Linked DNA regions of Rattus norvegicus. Each later gene encodes a partner of the first gene's protein in a complex. Links are inferred from orthologs where the notes say so. Each region holds a gene or a part of one and is shown in the gene's direction. Other genes may lie near its edges.

The links.
Region 2: Ropn1l (region 1) and Lrrc23 share a complex: the UniProt entries of both Homo sapiens proteins name them as parts of the axonemal radial spoke complex. The link is inferred for Rattus norvegicus from reciprocal best matches to the Homo sapiens genes ROPN1L and LRRC23.
Region 3: Ropn1l (region 1) and Dnajb13 share a complex: the UniProt entries of both Homo sapiens proteins name them as parts of the axonemal radial spoke complex. The link is inferred for Rattus norvegicus from reciprocal best matches to the Homo sapiens genes ROPN1L and DNAJB13.
Region 4: Ropn1l (region 1) and Dydc1 share a complex: the UniProt entries of both Homo sapiens proteins name them as parts of the axonemal radial spoke complex. The link is inferred for Rattus norvegicus from reciprocal best matches to the Homo sapiens genes ROPN1L and DYDC1.
Region 5: Ropn1l (region 1) and Nme5 share a complex: the UniProt entries of both Homo sapiens proteins name them as parts of the axonemal radial spoke complex. The link is inferred for Rattus norvegicus from reciprocal best matches to the Homo sapiens genes ROPN1L and NME5.

Annotation. Positions count from the first base shown.
Region 1 is NC_086020.1:84,160,000-84,166,021, reverse strand, and holds the start of Ropn1l (ropporin-1-like protein), read left to right. Parts: upstream 1-1,805; coding exon 1,806-1,936; intron 1,937-4,413; coding exon 4,414-4,537; intron 4,538-6,022. UniProt on the Homo sapiens protein: Functions as part of axonemal radial spoke complexes that play an important part in the motility of sperm and cilia. Important for male fertility.
Region 2 is NC_086022.1:159,270,073-159,275,552, reverse strand, and holds part of Lrrc23 (leucine-rich repeat-containing protein 23), read left to right. Parts: exon of another isoform or gene 1-311; intron 312-1,609; coding exon 1,610-1,740; exon of another isoform or gene 1,741-1,856; intron 1,857-4,649; coding exon 4,650-4,786; intron 4,787-5,094; coding exon of another isoform or gene 5,095-5,182; exon of another isoform or gene 5,183-5,480. UniProt on the Homo sapiens protein: Essential for sperm motility and male fertility. Plays an important role in the proper assembly of the third radial spoke (RS3) head and the bridge structure between RS2 and RS3 in the sperm flagella.
Region 3 is NC_086019.1:164,271,541-164,277,518, reverse strand, and holds the start of Dnajb13 (dnaJ homolog subfamily B member 13), read left to right. Parts: upstream 1-2,425; 5' UTR 2,426-2,431; coding exon 2,432-2,499; intron 2,500-5,978. UniProt on the Homo sapiens protein: Functions as part of axonemal radial spoke complexes that play an important part in the motility of sperm and cilia.
Region 4 is NC_086034.1:16,972,562-16,978,801, forward strand, and holds the start of Dydc1 (DPY30 domain-containing protein 1), read left to right. Parts: upstream 1-2,470; 5' UTR 2,471-2,717; intron 2,718-3,218; exon of another isoform or gene 3,219-3,473; intron 3,474-6,240. UniProt on the Homo sapiens protein: Functions as part of axonemal radial spoke complexes that play an important part in the motility of sperm and cilia. Plays a crucial role during acrosome biogenesis.
Region 5 is NC_086036.1:26,450,819-26,456,836, reverse strand, and holds the start of Nme5 (NME/NM23 family member 5), read left to right. Parts: upstream 1-2,008; 5' UTR 2,009-2,410; coding exon 2,411-2,539; intron 2,540-6,018. Other genes in the region: Brd8 (bromodomain-containing protein 8), read left to right, coding at 632-682. UniProt on the Homo sapiens protein: Functions as part of axonemal radial spoke complexes that play an important part in the motility of sperm and cilia. Does not seem to have nucleoside diphosphate kinase (NDPK) activity.

The DNA of each region.
Region 1 (6,022 bases):
TATTAATACATTGTTTAATGTAGGAGCAGTGGGAAAATGTTCTTTGAGCCACAGACATCTTTAATCTGTGAAGTTGAGTCTTCATCAAAGGAAATCAATACTCAGAAATGGTTATCACCTTATATCTACTCATTGGAAACACAGTGATTAGGAGAGTTGATGTGTCAAGTGACTGAAGATGTCTGCCTCCAAGGACCACAAGTGGAGAACAGATAGTAACCAAAAGAGGGATGAGAGAGAAGTCAGCCGCCTGAGCCAGCACACAGGACTGGGGAGACACCGGGACCCAGCTGCTTCCTCAGTGGGTTCTATAGGTCTGCACACATACACACCTAATCCTCCATCAGCCTCCTGCTGCCTGCTGCCTTTATCTCAGGTAGACAGTCACCAAGGCACAGGCCTGTCTGCATCAGTTTACATTGTTAAGACTTTTAAAAAAAATGTATATAACAGTGCCTAAAGTTTCTGTTCCCGTTCATTTATGCTTTAGGACATACTTGAAGGAGGAAGGAGCTTCTTGCTCAGGAACCACAGTCATTTGTTCTTTGCTTAGGAGGCCATTTCCTTGCCACAGTGTGGTAAAGCAGACAACTCCCACATGTAGACAGTGGATCCTTCACAATGGTGCATGGATGCTGAAAATGAAGTAACAGAATGAAAAGCAAACATTCATTTACAGATATGTACAAATGAATATTTCTAGTTCTAAGTAAAACCCCAAATGCTAATTTCTGTAGGGTAAAAAAATTTAGTTCAATGTCAAGCTAGGCATACATTTTTTAGATACAACAGCAAAATACAAGTTTAATTGTCACAATTTATACCTATGAGACATTTAAGAATAAAAGGACACCTGCAAACCCAGATTGGAGGTTTTACAATCTTTTCAGCTTCACAGGTCTTGTGGCTAATTTTTGCGGTGGTGGTAGTGGTGTTGGTGTGGGTGGGGACAGACTTGTTGCTTCTTGAAACACTAAATGTTGTCCGGGATGTCTCCAGTTCCCAGCTCAAATGAACCCCATACTGAGTCGCAGAAATTTTGTAGCACACTAGCCCCCACATCAGATTTTAACTATGTCAAGTTTTATCCGATTATGTTGTTTTTCTTTTAATAAAAGTTAACCTACCGAGCTACATAATGGACATTATTATTTACTCCTTTATACCTACTCCCCACCCCCGTTAAGGATAAATTATACTGCTAAGTCATCAGAAAATTCTGTAGTCCCCAGATAAACGCACATTTCTGTTTACAGTGTCTGAGAATCCTTGTTTGCCCATTCTATCAGTTTGTTATTGTTGTTGTTGTTTTTTTGTTTTTTTTGTTTTTTTTCTTTTCCCAAAGCTGCTTTGGTTTGGAAATGTGTATTCATACAGTGGGTGTGTGGACCAAATGGATTCACAGATGGTGACGCCAAGCCGAGACCCTGGTCTATCCCGAAGACAGTTTGCGATCTCGTGGGGTCCAGATTAGCTCAGCCTCTGAATTTTAGGAAAACAAGCTGTTTTGTTGCACTCTCCCCTCTGTAGAAACTTTGGTCACCGCGACTACGGGCCGGACGTCCGCCCCTTGCTCGCCGAGGCTGTGCGCCTGCGCAGCTCAGGTTGCCTGGAAACCGCACGCCACAATCGCGCGCTCCAGGTGCTGTGGGCGGTTGGGCCTCAGTTTCCAGGAGGGGGCGGAGCAGCCGGTTAGAAGCGGAGCCCGCCGAGGCCCTCCCCGCCGCCCGCTGCGCTGCGCTGACCCTGCCTCTCCCCACGCAGCACAGCGGATCGTCCCCGGCCGCCGCGGTCTGCCCAGAGCGATGCCGCTGCCCGACACCATGTTCTGCGCGCAGCAGATCCACATCCCCCCGGAGCTGCCGGACATCCTCAAGCAGTTCACCAAGGCTGCCATCCGTACGCAGCCGGCGGACGTGCTGCAGTGGTCGGCAGGGTAAGGCCGGCCTGGGAACCTCACCCGGTTACCGAGTACAGACGCCTACATTGTGGGTGTAGACTAACAAAGCTTGCACACCAACCGCGGGGCTAAAAGAGGCTCCGCTGAGTTAAAAAAAAAGTTACAGGGATGTTACAGTGAAACCGCTCAGAACAACTGACTTAAGTTCCTTCCCCCAACCCCACTGAGGCTGAGGTATGCGAAGGCTGCCACCTGAGAAAATTGGCTAGCACAGCTCACAGCTAGCAAACCTTCACACTCTAGAAATAAGGACACGAACCCTGGGCCTGGCCAGTATAGTCATACCACTCATTCTTTCGGTTTTTACACGAGAACTCTGCCACTGTTTAAATCACGAGAATAAATATTTTTAGCCAATTTTTGCTAACTTTCTCTGAACTGTATAACTAAGGTGGTTTCATTTCTTTTGGCTGTTTTAATAACTCAACTTATTTTACCTATTTTTTTTTTTTTTTGGTTCTTTTTTTTTTTTTTCGGAGCTGGGGACCGAACCCAGGGCCTTACGCTTCCTAGGCAAGCGCTCTACCACTGAGCTAAATCCCCAACCCCTAACTCAACTTATTTTAAAACAACATCTCTGGAGGTAAAAACCCCAAATCATCTGAAGCAGGCAACAGGCTTTTGGGGTGGCGGCTTCCATATTTGATTCAGCTGTTGGAACTGCACTCTAATGGCCATTCTACAATCCATGGGTTCTCTTCTGCCTTACTCTCCTTGAGGATTCCTGTGATGCATTTAGGAGCCATACAGTTTGTTCAGGATAGCTCTCCACCTAAAGTCCTTAATCGTGCAAAGATGTACCTCTCACAGGCCCCAGGGAAAGGACCTGGATGTCTCTTATTTAGCTCTGTCAGGGCCACCTTTGACTGTTCTCTCAATGTCCCCTCTACGATATTACGCTTAAGCCTTAGAGAAAGGGCTAGCTTTTTATGAAAGTTTATGTGCACTCCGAGACTCTGCCCCAACCGGGCACATTTGATAATACTTCCGAGAGAGTTTTTTGAGGCCTTGCTCAAGAACTCCATGATTCATTTGATTGGTGATGAGGGCGACTATAGGATAGGTATGAGTTTGCCAAGCCACAAATGGGGCCTGGACCGATAGGTCCACAGTTCTGCATCTGATTCTCTCATGGCTGTCCGAACCACTCCTTAGATCATTAACAAAACCACAGAGAGGAGCACAAGTCTTAGTTGTAGGCAGAGTTGACCCTGAGGGGTGAAGAGAGAGGGGGTTATCTTTGATCTACACAGTCTCCACTTTCCGCATACACCCATGCTACAGACTTAGAGGTTTCTGGGGACTCATATACACACCTGTTGCCCTGGTGCTTACTTTCACGTACATTTTCCTGTACAAATTCTTTGGTTAACGACTGTGGCTCAAGACCCTGCCTGGCACAAGGCCTCCCTCTGGTCAAATCTGATAGAAATCCACCCGAGTTGTTGCCCTGAGCCATTTCTGTGCCTCCTTTGCCTCCAGCCTAAGCATTTTCAGTGACCTGGAATGGAACGATTGGGGGTGGGAGGGTGGCAGGCAGGACGGGGAAAGATGGAAAGCGGGAAGTAGATGACCTTTGTGTATGCCCACACCACCTCCAAGTGAACGTGTAGAGCTGTCTAATGCCACATAGCCCAGAAAGCAGCTGTTGAAAAGGAATAGCCTATGTTGGGGATTTAGCTCAGTGGTAGAGCGCTTGCCTCGCAAACGCAAGGCCCTGGGTTCGGTCCCCAGCTCCGAAAAAAAAAAAGAAAAAGAAAAAAAAAAAAAAAAAGAGTGTCTCAGAAAAGGAATAGCCTTAGGCATGGAGTGCTGGAGAGATGGGGCACTGTTAAAAGTATTTGCTTGCTTTCCTGATGGACCTGACTTGAACTCCTAGCACCCACATTACAGAGTTTACAGCCAACTGTGACTCCAGTTCCTGGACATGGACATCTGCACCTACACACACACACATACACACACACACAACACACACACACACACACACACACACACACACAAAAATAAAAATATTGGGGTTGGGGATTTAGCTCAGTGGTAGAGCGCTTGCCTAGCAAGCACAAGTCCCTGGGTTCGGTCCTCAGCTCCAAAAAAAAAAAAAAAAAAAATATATATATATATATATATATATATATATATATATATATGTATAAAACAAAGAAACACAGCACTCAGAAGAAGGGAGATGAACCACAGTTCAGTGAGGCTCTCCTGGTTCCCATGTAAGCTCTCTGTCACTTGGTGCTTCCAGGACCCTCAGATAGCAATCAGCATGTCTGCTTTGCAGACAGAGAACCCACAGTGCACAGTGAAGTTCAAGGAGGTTGTCCAGCCAAGGTCCCGGGATTTGAGTGTGGTCCGCTGGCTTTGGGAGCTCCCAGCACATCTGCTGGGGTGACGAGAGAGTGTTGCCTCTGTGCTGATCTCTTCAGTGATGTCTCTCCTTCCAGGTATTTTTCAGCCCTGTCCCGAGGAGACCCACTTCCCGTAAAGGACAGAATTGAAATGCCTGTGGCTACACAGAAGACTGACACAGGCCTGACCCAGGGACTCCTGAAAGTCCTGCACAAGCAGGTGGGTGAACCTCTTCACTGCCCATGCTGCTGGTACCTCGTTGTGTCTCTTGAAACATTGGGATGCCTCCCCACTGTCCCCAGGCCTGCTCTGCCATGTTTAAATCTGACGTTATTTCTTGGAAAGAACCCCAAGAGCTAGCTTTTTCATGTATAGATTTTATTTTTATTTTGTGAATGTGTGTTGGAGATCAACAAACCACCAGAGATTTGTTTCATTTTTTTTTTTTTTTGGAGAGATAGAAACATGCTATGTAGTCCCAGAGATCCTCAATCTTGAGGTGACCCTCGTAACCCAGCGTCCTGAGTGTTAGGAGTACAGGTGGGCATTCTGCTCTAGTTTTGAAGTTAGTTTTGAACTTGGAGATATTCTGGACAGTAGGAACCATGTGCTCCCCATGGGAGTGCTCATTTCAGGAGGCCACTGTGGGGTGTGTTTTCTTCATTGACTCCTCTTTCTCCACTCACCCTTTCCTGTAAGTGCTCCCTTATTCTCGTGTGTGTGTGTGTGTGTGTGTGTGTGTGTGTGTGTGTGTGCGCGCGCGAGTGCGCATGTGCAGGAGGGAATCCCCAGCTGAGCTGAGGAGCTGAGGAGTCTCGGTCCCCTCCTTCATGTCTTCTCTTCTTCTTTTCATTGCTTCCTGTCTTCCTGTCTTCTTCCGACGAGAAAGTCACACCAGGTGGAAAATCTCATGAACGAGATTTATTAGAGTGTCCAGTATGGAGGGATGAATCCGAGGATGGCTACCCTCTGCTCCTGGGAGCGGAGAGCAATGAGCTAGACAAAGAGGCAGTGCTTTTATATAGGATTTCCGAGAGGTGGAGCTTCTCAGGACAGAGGTTTCCAGATTGAGGGGTGGTGGGATTTCAAGTCCTGATCTTGGGGAGCTCAGGGACTGGGGGTTTTCCTGCTCAGGGATTGGCCGCTTTTTTCACCCCCCTTTTCCCTGCATCAGGCCCATGGGTTAGGGTGGAAAGTCTCTCCCTGCTGAAGCCAGCTTTTGCTGAGGTGTCGTCTCTGTGGCACTGCTGTGGGGAGGCTGGAGAGGAGGCACTGCCACTGTGGGCAGATCCTGAGAGACAGCTCCTGCCTCAAGAAAGTTGTAGGCTGAGGCAGGAAAGGTGCAGTCACCATGGACAGCTGCTTTTCAGGGGTGGCTCCTGCGGTGGTGGGAAAAGTGACCACTATGGCTATCTCCTGCAGCATCGGTGACAGCTACACGCTGAGGGAATGTGACTGTGCTGTTGTTTTTGACAGCTTCTACAGGGCCATCTTGTTATAGGCAGCTGTACCACTAAGGAACTACTACACCTGGAGCACAATGTTTTAGGCAGGACTGGGTCCCACATTTTAAAGTCTATGCCACCACACTCAGCTTTTAGGTGGGTGTTTGAGTGGCAAACACTTTCCCCACTGAGCCATCCTCTAGCCTCTTCTCTTTTGAAATGTTGCTAATATCCATCTACCTGCTTCATCCTGGCACGC
Region 2 (5,480 bases), on another chromosome or scaffold:
GCCTGATGTGGGTGCTGGGAACCGAACCTGGGTCTTCTGAAAAAGCAACCAGGGCTCTTCACCACTGAGTCATCTCTACAGCCTCTCATAAGATTCTTTATGCTGGAGATGCTGACTGAACAAAGCCAGAAGTCTCTATTCTCGTGTAGAGTCCACTCTGTTTAGGGCGCTGAACAGATAACAACATAGTAAGTAGATAGAAGCCGGGTATGAAGGCTCACAACTGGGACCCTACACACTGGAGGTGTGAGCAGGGTTGATGACGTTCAAAGGCAGTCTGGGTCAGCTTGGCTCGCAGGGTGAGACCCTGTCTAAAGAACAAAGCATAACTCAAAAAGGAGGTAAATTCTATAGAAAATAGAGTGGAGAAAGATTGTAAAATGCACAAGTGCCATTCTCTCTCTCTCTCTCTCTCTCTCTTCTGGTACAAGGGACTGAATCTAGGATCTTGTGCATGCTAAACAAGCACTCTTCTGTCGAGCCATATCCCAGCCCTATTATGACTTTTTATTTCATTTTTTAAAAGATTTTTAAAGGTTAGCATGTTTATGCATTTTTTGCATGAGTGCTTTGTCTGCATGTAGGCCTGCACACCAGAGGATGGCATTGGATTCCATTATGGATGGTGTGGTGATTTGAATATGCTTGGCCCATGGGAAGTGGCACTTTTAGGAGGTGAAGCCTTGTTGGAGGAGGTGTGGCCTTGTTAGAGGAAGTGTGTCACTGTGGAGGTGGGACTTTGAGGTCTCACATATATGCTTAAGTCTGCTGGTTTGATACAGAGTCTCCTCCTGGCCGCCTTCTGATCAAGAGCTCTCAGCTCCTTCAGCACCATATCTGCCTTTCAGACATGGTAATGGACTGAACCTCTGAAACTGTAAGCCAGTCCCAATTAAAGAGTTGCCTTGGTCATCGTGTCTCTTCATGGTAATATCCGACAGCCCCAAAGTCCATATTTCTCCAAACAAAAACATGATCAGGCTTGTCAGAGCAACACCCCCGTCCTGGTACCAACTTCTGTCTTAGTTAAGGTTTCGTTGCTGTGAAGAGACACCATGGGCCAAGAATTTCAAACCACCATGTGAGCCACCACGTGACTGCTAGGGATGGAACTCAGAGCCTCTGGGAGAGCAGGCAGTGCTCTGAGCCATTAAATTCATCTCTTCAACCCCAGAATTTACTTTTAATTTTGGGGAGAGGGGCATCTTGTAAATTTCTGAAGCTGCACTTGAACTCACTCAGTTGTAGCCCAGGAAGGCCGTAGCCTTGTTATTCTGCTGCCTCAGGGTCCTAGGTAGAAGTAGCTGGGCCTACAGGTCTGAATTGTAGGCCCAGCACAAATGACAATTTTAAACTGGTTGTTTAGGTGAAATGCCACCTGACCAAAGGTATGCAGGGAAGAAGGACGTCGGCCATGAGTGTTGCTCAGGCATTAGCAATTCATTCTCAAAGTATAGATGGGCAAACCCAGGTCTACTTGCCTCAGAGCTCCCTCACCTTCCACCCCACATCAGAGCGGGAGAAGATACGGGGTCAGGGGAAAGCAACATGTCTCCTGCTGAACCTTCACCATGGCCCTTTGCGATCTCGATTCCCTCTTTTCTGATAGGGAACCGCATCCACCAGGTGACTGGTCTGGACCCCGAAAGACTGACTAACCTGCACACCCTGGAGCTTCGAGCGAACCAGCTGGAAACCACAATAGGAATCAACCTTCCCAAGCTAAAGAATCTCTACCTGGTAGCTCATGGGTCCTCGGGTGGCACAGGGAAGGGAGCAGCCTTGGCTTCTGGTAGGCTTAGCTAGTAGCTTCAGCACCGTGGTGGTGACAAGGCCCACACGGGGTCTGATACTGTGGAAACATAAAATTAAAACAGTAAGTACAGGCTCATGCTTACAGTGGTAGCGCTTGGGAGGCTGGGTAAGGAGGACTGCTGAGAGCTAGAGGCCAGCCTGGGCTACAGAATAAGACCCTGTCTCTCAGAGGGAAGCGAGTAGGAAAGAGGGAGAGAGGAAGGCAGGGCTACAATATATGATGTGTGATATAGGTTGTTGCAAAACGTGCTTTTCAGGTACAGAGAATGGGCAAAGAAATAAATATCCATTTATTTATTGAGATGGTTTTTTTTTTTTCTCTTTTGTTCAGAGCTGGGGACCGAACCCAGGGCCTTGCGCTTGCTAGGCAAGCGCTCTACCACTGAGCTAAATCCCCAACCCCCCTATTGAGATGGTTTTATGTAGCCCAGGTTAACCTGAAATCACTGTGTAACTGAGGATGACCTTGAACTCCCCTGATCCTTCTGCCTCCACCTCCCAAGTGCCAGAATTCTAGTATGTATCATTATAATGTGTGTGTGTGTGTGTGTGTGTGTGTGTGTGTGTGTGTGTGTGTGTGTGTTGGTTTTTCTTTTAAGACAGAGTTTCTCTGTGTAACTCTGGCTATCCTGGAACTCTCTCTGTAGACCAGGCTGGCCTTGAACTCAGAGATCCAACTGCCTCTGCCTCTGCCTCCCACGTGCTGGAATTAAAGGCGTGCGCCACCACTGCCTGGCTCGCCTGATCTTTTTTTTTTTTTTTTCTATTCTTTTTTTCAGTGCTGGGGACCAAACCCAGGGCCTTGCGCTTGCTAGGCAAGCGCTCTACCACTGAGCCAAATCCCCAACCCCTCGCCTGATCTTTTTATGTCTGCAGAAACCGAAGACCCCGAATGTATTTGCCTAGTCGCTGTTCTATTGCTGTGAAGACACACCATGGTCAAGGCGACTGCCCAGCTAACATCGAATAGTTTTGTTTTATGTGTTTATGTCTGCGCGCACACACACCGTGTGTGCATACAGGTGTGCAACTGTGCTGTGTGTGGAAGCCCAAGGAGAACTTCAAGCATTTTCCTCAGTGGCTTTTGACCATATGTTTTGAGACAGGGTCTCTCAGAGAACCTGAAACTTCACTAATTAATTAGCTTGGCCTAATTAATTAGCTCCAGGGGTCTTGAGTGTCTCTACCCCAATAGCAGGCATTACAGACTGTGTACCCCGCCCCACCCCAACACAAGATTGGCTTTTTATGTGAGTGCTGGGGACAAACACGAGTCCTCATGCTTGCATGACAAGAATTTTACTGACCAAGCCTTGCCCATGGCCCATGTTCTGTTGTTGTTAAGGGTCATACCATGTAGCCCTGACTGGCCTATATGAGTCGGGCTGGCCTAGAACTCACAGCAGTCCTCTTGTCTCAGTCTTCTAAGTGCCAGGATATGTATGTGCCACCAGATCTTGTTTTTATTATTTTCCTTAAAAAATATTTTCATGTGTGTGTTTTATCTACATGTATGTGTGTTTGTGTAGCACCATGTGTGTGCCTGGTGCCCCTAGAGATCAGGAGTGAGGCTAGATCCCCTGAAACTGGAGTTACAGGCAGGTTGTGTGCTGTCACGGGTGCTGGGAACGAAACCTGGGTCTTCTAAAAGAACAGTAGATGCTCTTAACTGCTGACCCATTGCTCTGGCCCCAAGTTCACTTTTATTTTTGAGACAGGATCTCCCTGCACAGCCTACACTGGCCTGACTCCTTAACAGGGTCAGGCTTTCCTTCTGATCCATTCTCCAAGTGAGTGCTGGGGTCACACTGGGCACCACCATACCAGCCAGGCTCTAAGTTCTGTCCATTTACCCTGGATGACATGCTGACTTCTGGAACGTACTACAGCCATTTCTCTGTTAGTGAGTGGGGCTCCTGGGACAAGGGCAGATCTAATCAGCTCTTCTGGAATTAGAGAGCCTTGATGGGATGAATAGATGGGTCTGTCTTGGTTTTGCTTCTTTTGTATTGGGGTTTGAAACCAGTGTCTTATACGTGCTGTAGGAGAGCTCTACCTCCAAGGCTTCCTCTCTGGCCCAGAAACATCTCTCCTGACAGATTTATTGTTGTTCTGGGAAATCTAGCTTTTGGGCTTCTTTGTCTATTTTTTTAAAAATTTATTAATTTATTATGTATACAGCATTCTGCCCGCCTGTATATCTGCAAACTGAAAGAAGGCAGTGGATCCCATTACTGATGGTTGTGAGCCACCATGTTGCTGCTGGGAATTGAACTCAGGACCTCTGAGCCATCTCTCCAGCCCTTCTTTTTCTTTTTTTTTAGTTAAAATTGCTTTACAATTACTTCTAACTTTGTGTGCGGGGCAAGCACAGCACGGCCTGAGAATGAGCGACAAGCATTGGCTCTCGTTCCACCGTGTGGGTACAGGGGAATGAACTCAGGTTGTTGGGCATGGCTGCCAACACCTTCCTCACTGAGCAGTCCCGATGACCCCTTTGTCTTTTTTATTGGGGGGGGAAGGGGTGATATTTGAGCTAAGGTAGTAGTCCAGGCAGGCCTGGAGACTTCCTGAGGTAGCTCAGGTTTGCTTCTACACCATGACACTTTTCCTGCTTCTGTCTCCTGAATACTACTAGGATTTTGGAGGATGGGCCACCACACCTAGGTCTGCACTTCTTCCTTCTCTACATCGCACCATCTGTCCCCACTCCCCTTCTCTACACCCACACTGCTTGCTACTCGCTACTCAGATTTCTCCTTGGCTTCATCCTTTTCCTGCTCCCTCTCTCTGCTCCCCACTCTGGGTTAATGTTACCATCTGCTGGGACGTAGGCTCAAAACCTGCTGAAGAAGGTGGAAGGCCTGGAAAACTTGAGCAACCTGACCACTCTGCATCTGCGAGACAACCAGATTGAAACTCTGGACGGCTTCTCCAAGGAAATGAAGTCTCTGCAGTACCTCAACTTGAGGTATGCGTGCGCATCCTCGTGAAGACCTGCCTCCCACCTGTCCGTCACCTCTCCCAGGGACCGGCAGCTGGGTCCTGGCCTTGTCCTTCTGCTCTTGTCCTCTACTGTCCTTTTTTCCGAATTTGCCTTGAAGTGCAACACAAAGGTCTTCGCATTAATTCAATCTATAATGAATAAGACTATACTGTTTTTAGTGGGGCTTTTTCTGTGTTTTAGAAACACCTAAAAGAATCAGAAGTGAACCATTTTCCTCTTTTTCCTTTCTTTTCTGTTTTGTATTGTTTTTCCCATTTTTTTTTCCTGTGTAGCCCAGCTGTCCTGGTTTGTAGACCAGGCTGGCTTCGAAATCACGGAGCTCAACCTGCCTCTCCTCTGCCTGCTCAGTGCTGGGAATGAAGGCACCGCCACCGTCCACCACCACGGGGCTTCTTTCTTCACTGCGATGTTCCCCAGGCTGGCCCAGTCTCTCGGACTCAGCCTCCTGCACAGCTGAGGTTACCCACCACTATGGCTGTTTTTCAGTGACTCACAGTCTGACTCCAGCACTCTTTTCCTGGCTGTATCCTATGTAAATGCCTTTCTCCCTCTCCTATGCCAGTTACCCTTTCCATTCATTCCTTGTCTCTTTTCTCTAAGCTGAACACTCCCTGTGAAGGACCGCCTTTACCTACGATAGTTTAACATACGATGTAGC
Region 3 (5,978 bases), on another chromosome or scaffold:
CTGGTCAACACAGCAGGTTCCAAGACAGCTAGGGCTACACAGAGAAACCAAAGTAAATAAATCAATTAAAGAACAAAGTGGGCTGGCTGAAGAGATGGAGAAGCGGTTAAGAGCACTGACTGCTCTTCCAGAGATCCTGAGTTCAATTCCCAGCAACCACAGGGTGGCTCACAACCATCTGTAACTTCAGTTCTAAGGGATCTGACGCCCTCTTCTGGTGACTGAAGACCGCTACAGTGTACTCACATACATAAAATAAGTACATAAACTTTTTAAAAAAGTGGGCAATTGGGGCTGGGGATTTAGCTCAGTGGTAGAGCGCTTACCTAGGAAGCGCAAGGCCCTGGGTTCGGTCCCCAGCTCCGAAAAAAAAGAACCAAAAAAAAAAAAAGTGGGCAATTGAGGAAGACATCCAGTATCAACCTCTGCCCCCCAATATACACATGCATGCACTCACACCTGCACATACATAGAAAGGGAGACACATAGAGCGAGAGTGAGAGAGAGAGATACATTGATATTGATCACATTTATGACAATTGTACCACTCTTTTTTTAAGTGTTTTTTAATTAAGATTTTATTTTTATTATGCATATGTGTGGATTTCTGTGTGTGGCTATGTGCAGATGAGTGCAGTTGGCCACAGAAGACAGAAGAGGGTGTCAGTTATCCACTGGGGCTGGAGTTATTGGCTGTTGTAAGCCCAACCTGGATGCTGGGACTGAACTCAGGTTTGGCTCAGTCCGGTGAGATCTCAGTACCTGCTCTAAACTGCTGCCTAGCAGGTAATGTGCTGAACTAATGTAATGCACCAACAGGGAAACTGGGTAGGGTATATGAGAACATTTTAATCTTGTTTTTCTGAAAATATAAAACTATCCTTTAATCTTAAAAAAAAAATCAGACAAGAGCTGGGCAGTAGTGGTGCACACTTTTATTCCCAGCGCCCAGGAGGAGGCAGAGGTAGGTCTGAATTTGAGGCCAGCCTGGTCTACAGAGTGAGTTCCAGGACAGTCAGTGTGTACAGAGAAACCCTGTCTCGAAAATTCAAAAACCGAAATAAATAATCAGCCAAATAAATTTGTTTTTAGAAAAAAAAATACTTATTCCATAGCCTAAGCTGGTCTTATGCCACACTCAACTTGTTCTCAAAAACAAAACAAAACAAAACAAAACAAAAAACAAATACTTTTAAGAGAGACAAGCTCTCTAGGTAGATCTAGCTGTCCTGGTGAACAGTATGTTTAGAGGATAAATTTACTGTGCTAGGCTTGTAAAAACAGTTGTTTGTAACTTGTGTAAGCCATGAGGAAGTTGCTCCCACCTTGAATATACCAGGTGAGCTAGCCTGAGACGGATGGACCGCTTCCTGGTACAGTTGGGCCATTGTTTAAAAATTCCTGATTGTTGGGCTGGAGAGATGGCTCAGAGGTTAAGAGCATGGACTGCTCTTCCAGAGGTCCTGAGTTCAATTCCCAGCAACCACGTGGTGGCTCACAACCATCTGTAAAGAGATCTGATACCCTCTTCTGGTATGTCTGAAGACAGCTACAGTGTACTTGTATATGATAAATAAATAAATCTTTAAAAAAAATTGCTGATTGTTGCAAAACCGTTCCCTGGCTCAATTACTCATACAAGGTCACAAGGTCAAACAGGCTAACTGCTAAGCTCTGCTTTTCTGTGAAACGTCAGCTTGCTTGATGGCGGAGGCACCTGCTGGATGTCTGCTACAAAATCAAGCCTTGCCTACACCCAAACACGATATGAATTAATTTGCCCCCCAAAATTATAACTTTGTGGATCTTTCCTTTATAATCCTTTGGCTAACAATAGCCAGAGTCTTACCTCGATTAATTTTCTCTGGTTTGGTCCTGGCCAGTTTTTGTTTGTTTGTTTTGTTTTTTTAATAAAAAGTCTCTAATTTGGGGTTGGGGATTTAGCTCAGTGGTAGAGCGCTTGCCTAGCAAGCGTAAGGCCCTGGGTTCGGTCCCAGCTCCGAAAAAAAGAAAAAAGAAAAAGAGGAAAAAAAAAGTCTCTACTAAAACCAAAACTGAGTCAGTGAATCTCTGAATGACCCCAGACCCACAACAAATTTACTATGTACATCAGACTATCCCCCAGCCCACAATTGCCTCTGCCGAGTGCTGGGATTAAAGATGTTGCCCCACTACAACCGGCTTTATTCTGAAGATTTTAAAGGCTGTGGCTGTACTAAAACATAAGCAAAAAGGCGCCGGGGACTCCAGTTTCTTAGCTGTGTGACCTTTATTGAGATCACGGAACCAGCTATGAGCGCCCCACAGCCGTTTCCTCAAGATAGAAAGACTACAATTCCCAGGGTGCCACTCGTGGTTGTCAGGAGCAACCACAGAACGCCGACGAACAGACGCTGGAGTCTGAGGAAAAACTGACCCACTGCTACCAGCCATGGGGATGGATTACTATGCTGTGCTCCAGGTCAATCGCAACTCAGAGGATGCCCAGATCAAGAAGGCGTAAGTGGGTGGGATCCTAGCCCAGCAAGTGCAGAGGCAGCCCCGCCCTGATGCCAGCCAAATAGTTTCCCTGCGCAGTTTAGGGTAGGAAAGGGGCACCTCTCTTCCCTTGTATGCCCTATCTGACTTCGTGCTGGTCAGGACACGAACTGGAAATTCAGACACACCCTCAGTGCATCAGGGGGCTTCCAATGCCCCAAACTCCTGTCCCTTAGCTCTTCCTGGGTCATGTCCGAATTCCTAGCTATGAAATAAGGACAAAGGACCATTTGGAACTTATCTTGAGTCTCATGGAGAGCCACAGGCATGTGGACCAGAAATGACTGGGACAAGTGGATGTTACAGTTTTCATTTTGGCCATCACATGGGTTTTTGTCACTGACTGATCTCTGTCTCTGAACACCTCTGTCAAGTCTCAGGGACTTTGTGACAGTCTAGATATGGGTGAGATGGTCCATGTCTTTAACCCCCAAACAGTGAGTCAGTGGCTAGCTTGAGCCACATAGCAAGGCCCTGTTTGTAAAAGAGAAGAAGTGTGTGTGTGTGTCTGTGTGTATGTGTGTGTGTGTGTGTGTGTATTTAGAGGGACATCTAGGATAAAGGTCAGGCTATGTTTCTGAAATTTTTGATCTTTTAAAGTTTTTCTTTGAAAAGAAGTTTTGGGCAAATATTTATGGAGCCCTCATCTTATGTGTATTGTTATAAAGGGAGGCGTACCCGGTGCAGCAGAGGCTTGTGTTAAGAGGCGAGGGGCTTCTAAGGAGGCTGTCCAGATAATTAAAGCCAAAGGGTGAGGCTTGAAGGAGGACTAAGGCTCCTGAGAGGGCTGGACAGGAGACACTGAGTTTGGAAATCAGTTGTGTCATCCAAGGTAAAGACAAAAGGAAGCATCTGAGGCAACTGGAGGTTTGGAGGCACACTAGCTGCTTGTATTGAACATGTGGGTGCTGTTCTGAGAGCCTTCTGTCATTGCTTCATTTAATCCTCACAGCCACCCTGAGAGGAAAATGCCACTGTCATCCCACGGGCTTGTATGTGGCAAATGGAATAAGAAATCAGACATGATCCCTTCTTCCCTGGGCCAGGTCTTGCTTGTGTGGACTGAAGGGGAGGGATAAGTGGGTGTCCAGTGGGGATGGAGAAATCAGATAAATTCATTAAACAATTGAGACAGTTCTGTGTAGTGTGTGATGTCACCCACTGCTCAGGGCTTTTACTGGCCAGTGGTATTCATCAAGTAAAAAGTTACCATGAGAGAAAGCAGGTGACCAGTGGGGCTCGTCAAAGGATGGCTACCGTGGCAAATAGCTAAGCATAGCCTAGTTACCAGAAGACCAATGTGCTGGCTAGTTTTAGGTCAACTCAACATAAGCTAGAGTCATTTGGGAAGAGAGATTCTCAATTGATGAAATGTCCCCACCCTTCTGGCCTGTAGGCAAGGTGCATTTTCTTAATTAGTGATTGATTATGGGTGGTGCCATCCCTGGGCTAGTGGTCCTGGGTGCTTTAAGAAAGCAGGTTGACCAAGTCACAGAGTTACCCTCTGTGCTCATAAGCAGCACCCCTCCATGGTGTCTGCATCAGCTCCTGCCTCCAGGTTCCCTCCTTGAGTTTCTGCCCTGACTTCCTTTGATGATGGAAGATTTGATTTGGTTGCAGACATGTAAGATACAATAAACCCCTCCAGCTGCTTTTGGTCACGGTGTTTTAGCACAGCTATAGAAACCCCTAGGACAGCAAATATAACATACTCAGGCAATTCAACCTTTCTGAGCCTCAGCTTCTCGTCTCTGAGAGATAGAGAGAGAGAGAGAGAGAGAGAGAGAGAGAGAGAGAGAGAGAGAGAGAGAACTGTGGAGTAGGAGCAGAGTACCCAGATGGCCCGTCTGATAAAGCAGCTGCATGCAGAGGATCCAAGCTGGACCCCCAGAACCCACATGAAGAAAGCTGTGTTTTGCTTGTAACCTGGCTCTGGGGAGTTGGACAAGGGTGGTGAATTCCGGGGGCTACCTGAACAGACAGCCTAGCCTACTTGGAGAGTTCCAGGTTACTGAGAGACTGTGTTAATAAATGAGGTGGGTGGAGGAACAGGAGAGGTGTGTCACAGCCATCTGAAATGGGATCTGATGACCTCTTCTGGTGTGTCTGAAGACAGCTACAGTGTACTTACATTCATATAATAAATAATTCCTTTTTAAAAAAAGATTTCCGGCTGTGGCAGTGGGTGGGTGTGGGAATGGAGGTCCTGTTTGGGCTCTGGATCTGGTAGAACTGCAAGGCCAGGGAGAAGACCTGAAATACAGGGGTGGGGCACAGATGTCTGTGGCTCAGGGAAGTGGGCTGGTAGGAAATGGGCATCTGCTGTGTGGGAGATGAGCTCAGACTGCAGGCTGTGAAATGAGAAGCTGCAGAGCACCAGACGCCTATGTGCTAGGGCTGGGCAGAGCGGGTGCCCTGATCAGACCCAGCAGGGGCTGCATGGTACCAAGCCAAGATTCCCTGCCCTTCCCTGCAGGTTTCCTTGGTCGAATGCCTCCCTGTGTGCACCTCTTCCTAAAGGGGAGGGAAACAAGAGGATAGAAGGAGAGAGTGGTTTCGGTGCTTATGTAACAGTCCCCTTCCTATGTGCCCACTCCAGAGGGCTCAGATCCCTTAATTGGTCTCAGCTCCTGCCAGGTCAGATGCACATCCTTCAGGGTTCACTTCAGCTCCCCATTTTCACTCGGAAGGTCAGAACACCCCTTCCCCTGCATGACTGTCTTTTGTGGTGGTCTCCATCCTGCGCCTTAGTGAATGATCCCTTTAAACTCCACAGATCATCCACTCGATCTCTCTTGACTGTAGCCTCAGACGCTGCAGTCGTCCCTGGGAAGAGTGGTGGGATGGCAGATATGAAAGTGGGGCAAGCATGAGCCCAGAGGTGGAAGAGAGTGCTAGGGCCTAATGGGACCCGAGGGCCGTAACACACTCGAGAAGCCTGTGTCAGACATGATCCTCTGCAAAGTAGACACAAGACAGAGTTAGATGAACTCCGTACCACAGGAACCAATTCTGGGGAAAACAGGGAGACTGCAGACCGCAGTGTAGGCCCCAGACTTGTGACTAGAAAGGGAAGGAGGAGTTATGTAGGGAGGGGAGCTAAGCTTGGCTTGTGGGGGAGTCTTCGAGCCAAGTAGGTAGAGGATGTTGGGGCTTGAACATGAAGTGTTCGTTGGTTAAAGGCTTTGTTCCTAGCAGGTTATGCCAGTGGGAAACAACTGGCTCAGGAGGGTGTAAATGTCATTAATTTGTCAATCAATCAATTAATTAATGGGTTAATCCCTTCATATTGGAATGGGCTCTTACAAGGTAGGGGCTACTTAGAAGAAGGTGGTCTCCGGAGTTGGCCTTTGATGTCTTGTCCCCACCCCCACCCCCATGTTTCTCTTCCCTTCCCTTCCCTTTCCCTCTTGTGTGTCCCCATTGCCCCTTTTCTCCCT
Region 4 (6,240 bases), on another chromosome or scaffold:
TGCCTTCTGGAGTTTGAGGAACTGTGATTTCATTTGGAGCTAAAACTACAGACTGGCAACCAAGACTTTGGGGGTCACTTAAAAGATGCAAACCGTAACATTACCTTTCTTAGAATAACCAACCAAATCACCCTTGCCGATCGCTGTTACGTTCAAGCCCGCTTCTTCAGCTTTTCAGCTAGAATACGTCAGACCAGGAGTCCCAGTGGTCATCAGTGTTGAAAGGGCCTGGCTCATTATTAGTCAAGGGTGCTGAAGACTTTTAACCAACCCACACAATATTCCCTCTTAAGTACAGAGAAAATAAGGCCCTGGAGAGAAACTCTGTGTATACAGCAAGCTGTGCTATTGTGAGGTTGGAAGCTATTCTATGACATAGACAGCAGAGGCTCATTTACTTTACAGGGAGAGAGAAGGAGGAAGAAAATGATGGGCCTGCAAATGATGGGCCTGCCAAGCCTCATCTGACATGCAATACCACAGCACGGCTTTAGGGAGAGCGGATGATCCTGCATTTCCTAATAGGTGTCAAGAGTGGCAGATAATGTCGTCTGACACAGAAGTTGCAGTACCAGAGCAGAGCCACAGCAGCACAGAGACCTGCACCAGACAGCCCACGTCTTGGTGTTGCCACTTACAGCGGTGTGCTCGTCAGCAAGTTGCTTGGTGTCTCAGAGTCTTGGCACCTTTTAGAAAACAGAAGTAAAATACATACCTCACAATATGGAAGGAGCGAATGGAGCTACTGATCACGTGAAAGGCACTGAGCCTGGCATACAGCAAGAATTTAAGAAACAGGAGCTATTACGGAACAAGATTTTGTCAACATATGTTCCTAGCACCAAGCCTCCATATTCCCAGTTTTTCAGCTCACGACTGAATAACTAGACATTGGTATAGAAAATATAAATACATTTTACCCCTCACTGATATCAGAGTCTAGAATCGCAAATACCCCAGGAGCAGTGAATGCTGCCAGCACTCTTTGTTTCTTTGTTTTTCTCCATGAGGCGGGGTTTCACTGTGCTAGGCTTGCCAGCAACTCCCTAGGTAGCCCACCATGGTTGAACATGCTTTTTCCTGCTGATCCCTTCCCAGTGATGGATGCGAGGTGTGCACCACCATACCCAGCTGCAAAGGGGGATTAAATATTGTTCATGAATTAAGGGATCGTAGATCCTTAAGGAAAAGTTTGGCTCCAGGGTTGGGGCAAAAAAAAATATAAGCAGCCAGAGACAGTTTATTATGCCAGGAAGTAAGACTCTGACAATGTAGACACAGGAGCCATCTTGAAGGCTTATTCCAGTGCTACATTTTTGCTTCCACAGGAACCCATAATCTCAAACCCGGAACCTGTGGATGTTATGTTGTATGATAAAGGGGGCTTTGGAATTGTGATTAAGGATCTTAAATAAGGAGTGTGTGTTATACAAGCGGGACCTCTCAGTTACTTTTCTATTGGTGGTGAAGAGATACCACGATCAAGACGGTTTACAAAAGAAAGCACTTAACTTGAAGCTTTGCAGTTTTAGAGGGGGAATCACAGCCGCCATGGGATTGGGAGCATGGGCACAAGCAGGCACGGTGCTGGAACAGTTCTCAAAAGCTTGTCTTCACGTTGGAGGTAGGGGCAGACAGAGCGAGCCTGCTGTGGACTTTTGAAACCTCAAAGTCCACCCCCAGTGACACACCTCCTCCAACAAGACATCTCCGAAGCCTTTCAAAAGAGTTGCAGCAACTGTCAACCAAGCATTCAAATATCTGAGCCTCTCGGGCTCATTCTCACGGAAAGCGCCACATAGGCACAGCTGTAATTGCCAGAGGTGTCAGTAAGGCCAGACGTGGAGGGTGGCAGAGTGACAAAACACATGGAAGAAGGAGCATGAAAGTCAAGATCATGTCCAGAGACAGCTTCTAGAAGTCAGAAGACAGGGAAACGGAACATACAGAAGGGTTTGTGTGGATTAAGTTTTCCACATCCCTGCTGCTTCATGTGATCGGACGAGGAGTTGTTGTTTGGTGAAGTGCAACTTCCGATATCTTAGATTGAATATATGTGTGGCTCGACGAAATCCCCAGTGCAACCCCCAGTCACTGATCCTCTCGCTATTCTCGTAGAATCCCAGCACAGAATCACCAATGCACTGCCAGAGCGTCTCTCCATGCCTGGATTACTGAGTGACTGCTGCACTGCTTAAACGCGACAAGCCCTCTGAGGATACCACCCCTGGCACTTGTCCCACATTCAGTACCGAGTAAAGATGTCTGAGTGCTCTGATGTTGGGGGCGGGTGGGCAAAGGAAGGGCTCAGACTCTGTTGATCCATCAGCGTCCCTTCTTGCATTTATGCAAGCCTCTACCACCGAGCAATGCCAGGCCCATTGTTTGCTTTTTGTTGCTCTGGTAAACACTATGACCCGGGGGGAGGGGGGAAGAATTTATTTGGTTTACAGATTACACTCAGTCTATCATCAAGGAAAGCCAAGCCAGCAACGCAATGGGAGAGTGAGCGTGAAACAGTAACCATGAAAGGAAGGCTTTCGTTCTCTGGCTGATTCGGCTACCTTTTCTACACAGCCCAAGCCTGCCTTCTCAGGGACAAGCACTCCCCATAGTGGACATATGCCCATAATTAGCAACCAAGAAAATGCCTCCCAGACACGCCCACGAGTCAATCTGATGGAGACAATTCTTCATTTGAGATTTCCTGCCCCCAGGTATATCTAGGTTTGTGTCACATTGACAAGAACTAACCACGCACACCAGGGGAGAGTGCAAGCTAGAGCCTGGTGGAGGGTGTCTTTGGGCTAGCTGAAGTTGCTTGTGTGTGAGTTCACTCTGATATTTTGGTTGTGAGCCTAGCCTTTAACGGCTGAGCCATCTCTCCAGCCCGTGAGTTCACTCTGAAAGGTCTTAAAATTACCAAGCCAACAAGCCTGCAGCCTTGAAAGTGTCTCTCCTGACTTCAAAGATCTGCTGCTCCACAAGGCTCCTATCTAAGAAGAGTCCCCGTGTCTGCTGGGTTCCTCCCGCTGTTTCTCCACAGTGTTTCCTTTCCCATAAATCTGGTTCTCCCATCTGCGTGCCCCCTCCCCTACAGTGCGCGTTCCTGGCTCTATCGAGAGTGCACCCCCTCCCCTAGAGTGCGAATTCTCCTTTCATTTCCCTTTGCCTCCACTACTTGGGCTGCAATGGAACCTTAGCTCTACACTAGAGCGTGCTCTCGTTGCCAGGCAACGGGACGCGACTCACTGGCGTGTGGCCAGAACGTGCATCGGATGCGTGCACCAAGGAGGCTGGAGCGTTTTCCTTCGAACCGGCCCTCTAGTGTCTCTGCAGAAGCAGTTCTAAAATTTTCACCTTGAGAGTCAAGTAGGTCTCAACTCAGAATCCGAGGGAGGGTTAGTTCTCCTGTAAGAGCCTTTGGAGCGCAAGGACTCCTTCTCCTTCCTCCTCTCTTCCGGCTCCTCCTCTTTCTCTTCTTCCTCCCCCCCTCCTTCTCCCGCCCTCTAGCCACCCAATAGGAAAACTAATCTAAGTGTCTAGGTTGGTGGCTGCCTGATTGAAATTTACTTTTAGATAAGCAGGTTACTTGCTAGCACAAATATATATAAGACAATTATTCATTGTTTCTCAGAAATTAGGTCTGCGGTGGTTTTGAGTGCCGAATCCAGCACTCTTCCCAGGTCCTGGCAGAGAACCTCCTCCATTGTCTCAGAGCAGCTGCTCCAGATGTTTCTGTGGGAGCGGACTTTCTTCTGTGAAGCTGGATGAGCACTGGTGTTTGCTGGGAAATAACACTTCTTAGGACAGAAGAGATGGCTAGTAGTTTCCTAACCTGACCAGGAAATGTATGTTGCAGAGATGACAGAGGGACCTCATGAAAGCCCCACGGAGAACGCTAAGCAGCTGCCAGAGCCCCAGATCCTATGTTTTTGGAGCAGCAGGAAGAGTGTATTCCATGTTGTATATAAATGACACTGATACGTCCATGTGGTGATCTTATCTATAGAGAATTTCCCACAGAAGAAGCACCGTGAAGACACAGCCCAGTCAGTTGCCGTGTTTGTCTCTCTGTGATTAGGACACCAGTGCCAATCTAGTTGGAAATCAGCGTATTTGTGCCAGCTCCAGTCGTTCTTAGGGCTACACTATACATACACGTGTATATTCCTTTGGAAGCAGGAGCAATTTCTACATCTCCCTTTTCCTCCTGCATTGTGCCTCACTAGGAAACCACTGCCTATTTTAGAGAGCATTTCCAGCCCCTTATATTGTGGCTGGATTCCATGGTGTTGTATGTAATTGATCCCCTGCCAGGACATTCAGACAGCACTTTCAGTCTGACTATAATAATAACGTGTGAATAACCACGTTCACATGTCACTCCAGTCTTGAGTCTGCACCTTTGAGACAGGAGTCGAGAACTGCAATGGTGAACATATTCTGGTCTTTTAATCTCATTGGGTCACAATTCTGGGCTTGGGTGGGATCATTTGTTTGGTCTGTTATCCTATATAACTATAAATAGAAATAGTCACCCTAAAAAATACTCACGTATCTGCCTTCATACCTGAAAAGACTGGGGAACAGCTGAGAGTAGGCACACGTTTGATTACTTGCCACCATGGAGAGACAGCAGGGCACACACATGCGCATGCATGCACACACATACTAACACTCTCTTATACACTTTGTAGGCAGCATGACAAGGGCTGTATGAGCTACTTGAAGTAGGAGAAACTCCCTTGTACTGCTTGACAAAACTCCAGAGCCAGACATGATCTGTGGCTCGAAGGAGGAGGTATGTTCCAAGAGTAGAGAGGAAAGGATTATTGAGATGGGAAAGCACAGTGTGATAGCTAGAATATGGCAGGATATTCAGTGGGGTAAGAGCCCAGGATATATGATGACAGGGACGTGCTTGAGGTGAGTCTTAAGGGAAGCTGTGGTGGTTTGAATATGCTTGGTCCAGGGAGTGGCACTGTTAGGAGGTGTGGCCTTGTTGGAAGAAGTGCGTCACTCTGAAAGTGGGCTTTGAGAGCTTCTTCCTAGCTGCCTGAGGAGGATGCCAATCTTCTCCTGGAGGCCTTCACATTAAGATGTAGAATTCTCAGCTTCTCTCCTGCAATGCCTGCCTGGATACTGCCATGGTCCTGCTTTATGGATAATGAACTGAAACTCTGAAAATGCAAGCCAACCCCAATTAAGTGTTGTCCTTATAATAGTGGCCTTGGTCACGGGCACTGACTAACACAGAAGCTGATACCAGAGACTGAGGATCGCTGTGATACCATGGTTTTGGCTGGAGGAATGTGGCTTTTGGGACTTTGGATTTGGAAAGCCATGGAATGCTTCAAGTGAGGCTTAATGGTTCGTCCTAGTAGGAATATAGAAGATATTGGTGATTTGAACTCTGGAGATCTTTCTTATGCTTTGGTGAAGAATGTTGCTGCTCTTTTCCCTTGTCTGAAGAGTCTGTCTGAGACTCAGGTGAAAGGACTCAGATTAATCACACTGATAAAGAAAGTCTCAGGAACACCCAGCATAGACTTTGTCCTCTGGATTACTGTCATGAAGATTGCTCTGATTAAGCATAGCAAGCCTAAAAAGAAAAACTACAAGATGTATGGTTCAAATAATAAATGGGCACCAGGAAGTGCAATGGAATGAAATCCTGCGTTCAAGTATATTAAATAGATTAAGGGAGTGGTGACCTCAGGACAAGATCCCACCCAGCTAAGCTTATTGTTTATGTGTTTGCAGTTGGACAAGGAATAGTTATATATCACGTTAGGTATTGTTACCTGGTTATTGTTTTCATTTTGACTTTTAGTCTAGAATGAACTACAGTCCAGAAATGGAGAGTACACCTGTGATCCATGTCTTAAGGTTGGAAGAGACAGGCTTGATTCGGATCTTGATGTAGAATGACACATGCTTTTGATCCAGATCTTGAGGAACAGTGACCATGAAAAACTTAGGTCCAGGCATTATGGTACATGTCTTTAATCCCGGGCGGGGGGGGGGGGGAGAGAGAGAGAGAGAGGAAGAGAAGAAGAAGAAGAAGAAGAAGAAGAAGAAGAAGAAGAAGAAGAAGAAGAAGAAGAAGAAGAAGAAGAAGAAGAAGAAGAAGAAGAAAGGAGAAGAAGGAGAAAGGAGAAGAGAGGAGAGGAGAGGAGAGGAGAGGAGAGGAGAGGAGAGGAGAGGAGAAAAGAGAAGAGAAGAGAAGAGAGGACA
Region 5 (6,018 bases), on another chromosome or scaffold:
AGTGGGATTCAGAAGCCTGTGTGAATAAAGATGTAATGGAAGTGACCTCGTGTTCTTAGAGTTTCTTTTCAGAGATGATGGCAGAGCCTGTGGTAAACGTGGGTGTTCTCTTGTGACTGGGAAGCTCCTTGTCCTCATGGGCCCAGATTTAACACACAGTGGGATAAGGATGTCTGGGAAGGCCAGCAGCAAAAATGGCAGGAGATGAGCAAGTGATGGATACTTCTGTTCTCAGAGGCCCGAGTTGTAAGACTGAAAGCCAGTCAGGTGTTGGACCACTGTCCATGTCTCTTTTGTTGTGACTGTTGACATTATTATTTTTTTTTTTTTTGGTTCTTTTTTTTTTCGGAGCTGGGGACCGAACCCAGGGCCTTGCACTTCCTAGGTAAGCGCTCTACCACTGAGCTAAATCCCCAGCCCCGACTGTTGACATTAATGTACATGTATCCGACCCATATTTGGAGGAGAAGTCATAGTGAGTTCAAGGAGACATGTAAGGGTTTCTCTTTTGGGAAGCATCAAACTTTAAAAGGTGTAGTTTTATCTGTTTGACAATAAAAATAAATAAAATTTCATACACTTGCTCTGTGGCTTTAAGGTTCATGGCTTCCTGTCTGCATTCCTCCTGTAGGTTCTGAGTACTTGGCTGGATAAAAGGAAGGACCTGAGTAGCCTGGAATGAGTGCAGCTAATCCAGTGGACCAAGGAAGCCTGTTTTGTTAGCTTCGAACTACAAGTCTGATTCTTTCTCAAGTTACAGCTCTCCTTAGGACTGGCCAGAGAAGAAGTGGAAACTTCTCTTCTCCACTACTTTTCAAATAAGGATAGTAATGCCTCACCTCCTACCTCAAAAGTCAACGGTGCTTGCAATGTAGTATTTTTTAAAGGGGTGGGGTAGGGTACCGAGATCTGGATTTATGATGTAAATATTGCCCACATTTTTGTTGCATAGACTTAAAAGTAATTTGATTGAACCTTTTGTTTCTCTATAAATAAATAGTTTGCAAACTAAAGATTTTGTTTGGTTTTTGGGGCACAGCATCAAAACCCAGGCTTTCCTGGAAACCCCCATTGCATCCAGCCTCTGCCTCTCATGGAGTGCTGGGATTAGAGGAACTCAACCCCAGACTACCTGACCTTGCAAAGGGGGCTTCTAAATGATTAAATAAGCTGGATGATGGGAGCAGCATCATATGGTGAAGCACAGGAGGTATTTGCTGGGAATATAGCTCAGTGGTCAATTGTTTGCCCAGGTTTGATCCCAAGCACCACCACCCACACCCCAAAACAGAAAGAAAGAAAAAAAGAAAAAGAAAAGGAATGAGGGAAAGAGAGAGTAAATAATAAATTTCTCATTAGTCTTTCATATAATGACCAGGAGGAACTGGAGTGGACCGAGAGAGGTGTCTGATTTATCTCATTTACAGATAAGGAATGCATCCTTCAAGCATGTACCATGAAGAAAAGAGATCAATTAGAGAAGAGCTGGTGCTAAGGCTCAAAGGGTAAAGAAGACCACTTGAGTTCCGTCCCTGGAAACCACAGAAACGCAGGAAGGACTTGACTCCACAAAGTTTTCTTACCTCCATATCACACACACACACACACACACACAGAGAGAGAGAGAGAGAGAGAGAGAGAGAGAGAGAGAGAGAGAGAGAGAGAGAGAGAGAGAGAGAGAGAGAGAGAGAGAGAGAGAAATGTGTGTAGTACTCTAAGACTCAAAGAGAATAAAATGTACACGGCTAATTATTGCCTTAGGTTAAAATTAACTAGAGTCTTAAAAAAAAAAAAAAGGGGGGGTTGGGGATTTAGCTCAGTGGTAGAGCGCTTGCCTAGGAAGCGCAAGGCCCTGGGTTCGATCCCCAGCTCCGAAAAAAAGAAAAAGGAAAAAGAAAAAACAAAAAAACAAAAAAAAAAACAAAAACAAAAAAAACGCGGCTGGGATTGGGCCTCTGCAGCCACCGTTAGGAAACCAGCTTCGGTCTCTTAGCAACGAACGGGCTCTGACAACACCTGAACTGAGGCCAGTGCTGGGAGGGTCTCAGGTGGAGATTTCCCGAGAACTTTGGGACCCTGCCTTCCTGTCATGCCTAAGCCTGTACAAAGTGGTCCCTACAAGGTGGGGACCCTTCGCTAGGGCAGCCGGCTAGGGCCTTCCCGTACTCCTGGAGAGCAACACTGATGCCATCCAGCCTCCAGCCTCAGTCGAGCGGCTAGGGCTCCCCTTTCTCTGTATAAGTCGTATTCTTGCAAAAGCATACGTAGAAAAGCATAGTGCTTTCCATTTTTATAAATTAATCAAATCTAGTACCAGATTTTGCCACAGGCTGATTTTGGGACGGGGACTCGTGTCGTTGCTGCGGATAGCTGGTCAGGAGATTTGTAAATTGTACCGGAAAACGCCAGAATGGAGGTATCAATGCCCCTGCCTCAGATATATGTAGAAAAAACCCTAGCCCTTATCAAGCCAGATATTGTTGATAAAGAAGAAGAGATACGCGATATTATCTTGAGATCCGGATTCACTATTATACAGGTAACTTCTGGCGTCTCTTTTATTAGTTTTCACTATACTTATATAAATGTAGCCACCCGTTTAGATCCTTAGTAACATTAAATTTACATTTATAAATATAAAGGTTATATATAAACTGCGCATGTAAGCACACATGCCTGTAATCTCGGAATCAGATAATGGAGGCAGGTCAGCCCTGTACTGACTTCCAAGTTCAGCCTGGGCTCTGTGAGACCTGTCTCAAAAACACGTTACAAATAACAGACAAGTTTTCACACTTGTAAGGATATAGAATAAGACATAAAAGAAGCATGCTGCCTTTTTCTTTTCCTCTGCAGGTCAGCTCTAGGGAGAGGCAATGACTTAACTACATTCTTTCTCCTGGGTGTTTCTAACATTCTGGATCATTAAACCAGAATCTACTTATCCCTTCTGAATTATGTGCAGTATTCCTGTGTATACTTTGGTTCCTAGTGTCAGTAGGTTTTTTTGTTTTGTTTTGTTTTTTCTTTTTGTTTTTGTTTTCAAGAAATGGCTTCTCTGTATAGCCCTGGCTGGCTTGGAACTCACTTGTAGACCAGACTGGCCTGGAACTCAAAGAGATCCAAATGCCTCTTCCTCCCAAGTGTTGGGATTAAATGTGTGCACCACCACACACAGCAAACATTTAGTGTTTTAAGGTCAACATTTGTTCTGTAGTTGGTAAACAGGGTCAAAGAAGCCAAGCACCACAGAGGACATCGAGAGCTCAACTTGGACTTCACAGTGAGTCCCAGACCAGCCTGGGGTACGGGGATGCAGGCCTTGGAAGTAGTGACATAGACCTGTGATCCCAACCCTAGACAGGGTAAGACTGGAGGATCTTGAGTTCCCAGCTATCTTGGGCTTCACAGAGTTCTTAACTGTCCTCTAGTAGACAAGATCTCTAACTAAAAGACAAGTGTACAAATAGATGAGGTGGAACTTAGTGCTTGTAATATTTTCTTTGACTTTCACTTGAACTACAATTCTAAGAGAATAAAACATTATTTTTATTCTTTTAAATGCATATGTAGCTGAGTGCTGTGCTTTTCATCCCAGCACTGAAGAAGCAGAGATGTGTGTTTCTGTTGGGTTCAAGGCAAGTTCCTAGCCAGCCAAGGTTACATAGTGAAACTTGTAACACTGACTTAAAATTCTTATATAGTATCATATTATCTATTTTTTGCTGAGCAAGCACAAGGACATGAGTTTAAATTCCCAGCATCCATGTAAAAGCCAGGTGTGATGGCAGCACCCGGATATAATCTCCGTCTGGGGCGGCAGGGCAGGAGGACCAAGTAGTCTTGCCAACTTGGCCAGCTTGAGGTAGTGGGAGACGCAAAGTGGTGAGCAAGTGCGGCTGGCACCCAATGTGGACTCTGGCTCCACACATGTGGCATCTGCACCCCCACATGTGTGCATATACACACGGACACAGACGTGTGCATGTGTCACCCACAGAGATGACATAGTGGGGAGATTTTGACAGAGTTGAGATGGCACAGAAAATACTCAGGTGAACACAAAGTCTTTAATAAATGTTATGAAATTTGAGTCCTTTTTTTTCTGAGGTAGCTATAAATGGATCTAAATATTTAAAAATTAAACTTCTAGGTGGGGCCAGGGTGTAGCCCAGTGCTGGAGTACAGGCTTAGCAAGCATAAGGCTGTGAGTTCAATCCCTACCACCCCTCTCCACCAAAAATAGTAAATTGTGTTTGTAGCTTCTTCTAGAAGAAAAAAATAGATAAACAAACACTTGAGGAAAAAAGATTCTTAAAAATCTAGGTTCTCATCCCAGAGAGATGGCAGAGGCAGGCAGATCTCTGCTCTACATAGTAAGTTCTAGGACAGCCAAGGCTACACAGAGAAACCCTGTCTGAACAAACAAGCAAATAACTCAAGTTCTCAGGTGGATGTGCAGCTCAGCTGGTGGACCATGTGCCTGGCAAGTATAAACCGTATCTTCCAGCAGTGCAGACCCTGAAGTCCCAGTGCTCAGAAGACTAAAGGAGGAGGACCGGACATTTAATGAGGTTATCCCCAGCTACATAGTGAGTTGGAGGCTAACCTTGGCTACATGAGACTCTGTTTAAAAATCCAAAGTGGGGGTTGGGGATTTAGCTCAGTGGTAGAGCACTTGCCTAGCAAGCGCAAGGCCCTGGGTTCGGTCCCCAGCTCCGAAAAAAAGAAAAGAAAAAAAAATCCAAAGTGAACAAAGGAAGTCTCTTGATACATAGTCCAGGATGTCCTCCAGCACAGGTGACCTCCTGCCTCTCCTTCATGAGAACTCAGATTAAGGTGTTCTCCTGTGTTTTGTTTTCTAAGATGACTTCATTAAGTAGCTCCTGTGGCTTCAGTTATTCTGCTGCAGGCTCATGAGTGCTGGGATAACACACAATGTACCACTCACTATGCCTAGCTTGATTTAAGTGTTACAGGTTTATTTTTAGAAAGGTGAGGGAACTCTGACTTCTGTACCCTGCACACTGAAGATGTTTAAAGTTATTTATTTATCCCATTTATTTTTGATTTTTCAAGACGGGGTTTTTCTGGGTAGCCCTGGCTGTTCTGGAACCCACTCTGTAGACCAGGCTGGCCTCAAACTCAAAGTACTGGGATTAAAGGTGTGTGTCACCACTGCCTGGCTAAGTCCTTTAAAAAAATCTCTCTGTCTCTCTCTCTGTCTCCCTCTCTTTGTCTCTCTCTCTCTCTCTCTCTCTCTCTCTCTCTCTCTCTCTCTCTCTCTGTGTGTGGTGTGGTTGTATGTGAGGATGTGTTTGCTTGTGGTGGTAGGTAGAGTAAATGGATATGTGGATATGTGTGTGTTGTGTGGTGTGGTTATATGTTTGGGGAGGTGTGGGGGTGTTTATGTATGTGGTGGTGGTATATAGGTATATGTGTGTGTGGTTATGTGTGTGTAGTGTGGTTATATGTGTGTATTTGTATGTGTGTGTGTATTGTGTGTGTGTTTATGTATGTGTGTTTATGTGTGTATACAAGTTACCTCAGGCGCCAGGCCTTACCTTTTTTGTTGTTTGGAACAGGCTCTCTTGTTTGCTACTGCAAAATCAAGGCTAATGGGTCATAGGCCTCTAAGGTGCCTCCCATCTCCAACTACCCTCTCTAGAGGTATACAGGGGTTACAAAGTCACTCTACAATGTTGGCCATTAGGGAAATTCTGGGGATCCAAACCCAGGCCCTGACACTTGAGCTACCAATGCTCCTCTGCTCACTGAGCCATCTTCTAATTCTTTAAATCCATATTAAAAAACGATCACTGATAAATAGACTTTGTAATTAAGTGGCTTGTGTTTATTATAAATTAAAACTCAAGAGTTTGGCACAGTAGCACACACCTTTAATCCAAGCACTCAGGAGGCAAAGGGAGGTGAATCCCTGTGAGTTCTGGGCCATCCCAAGACTACACAGAGAGACCCAGTCTCAAAACAAGAACATAACAAGCAATTAGCAGATAC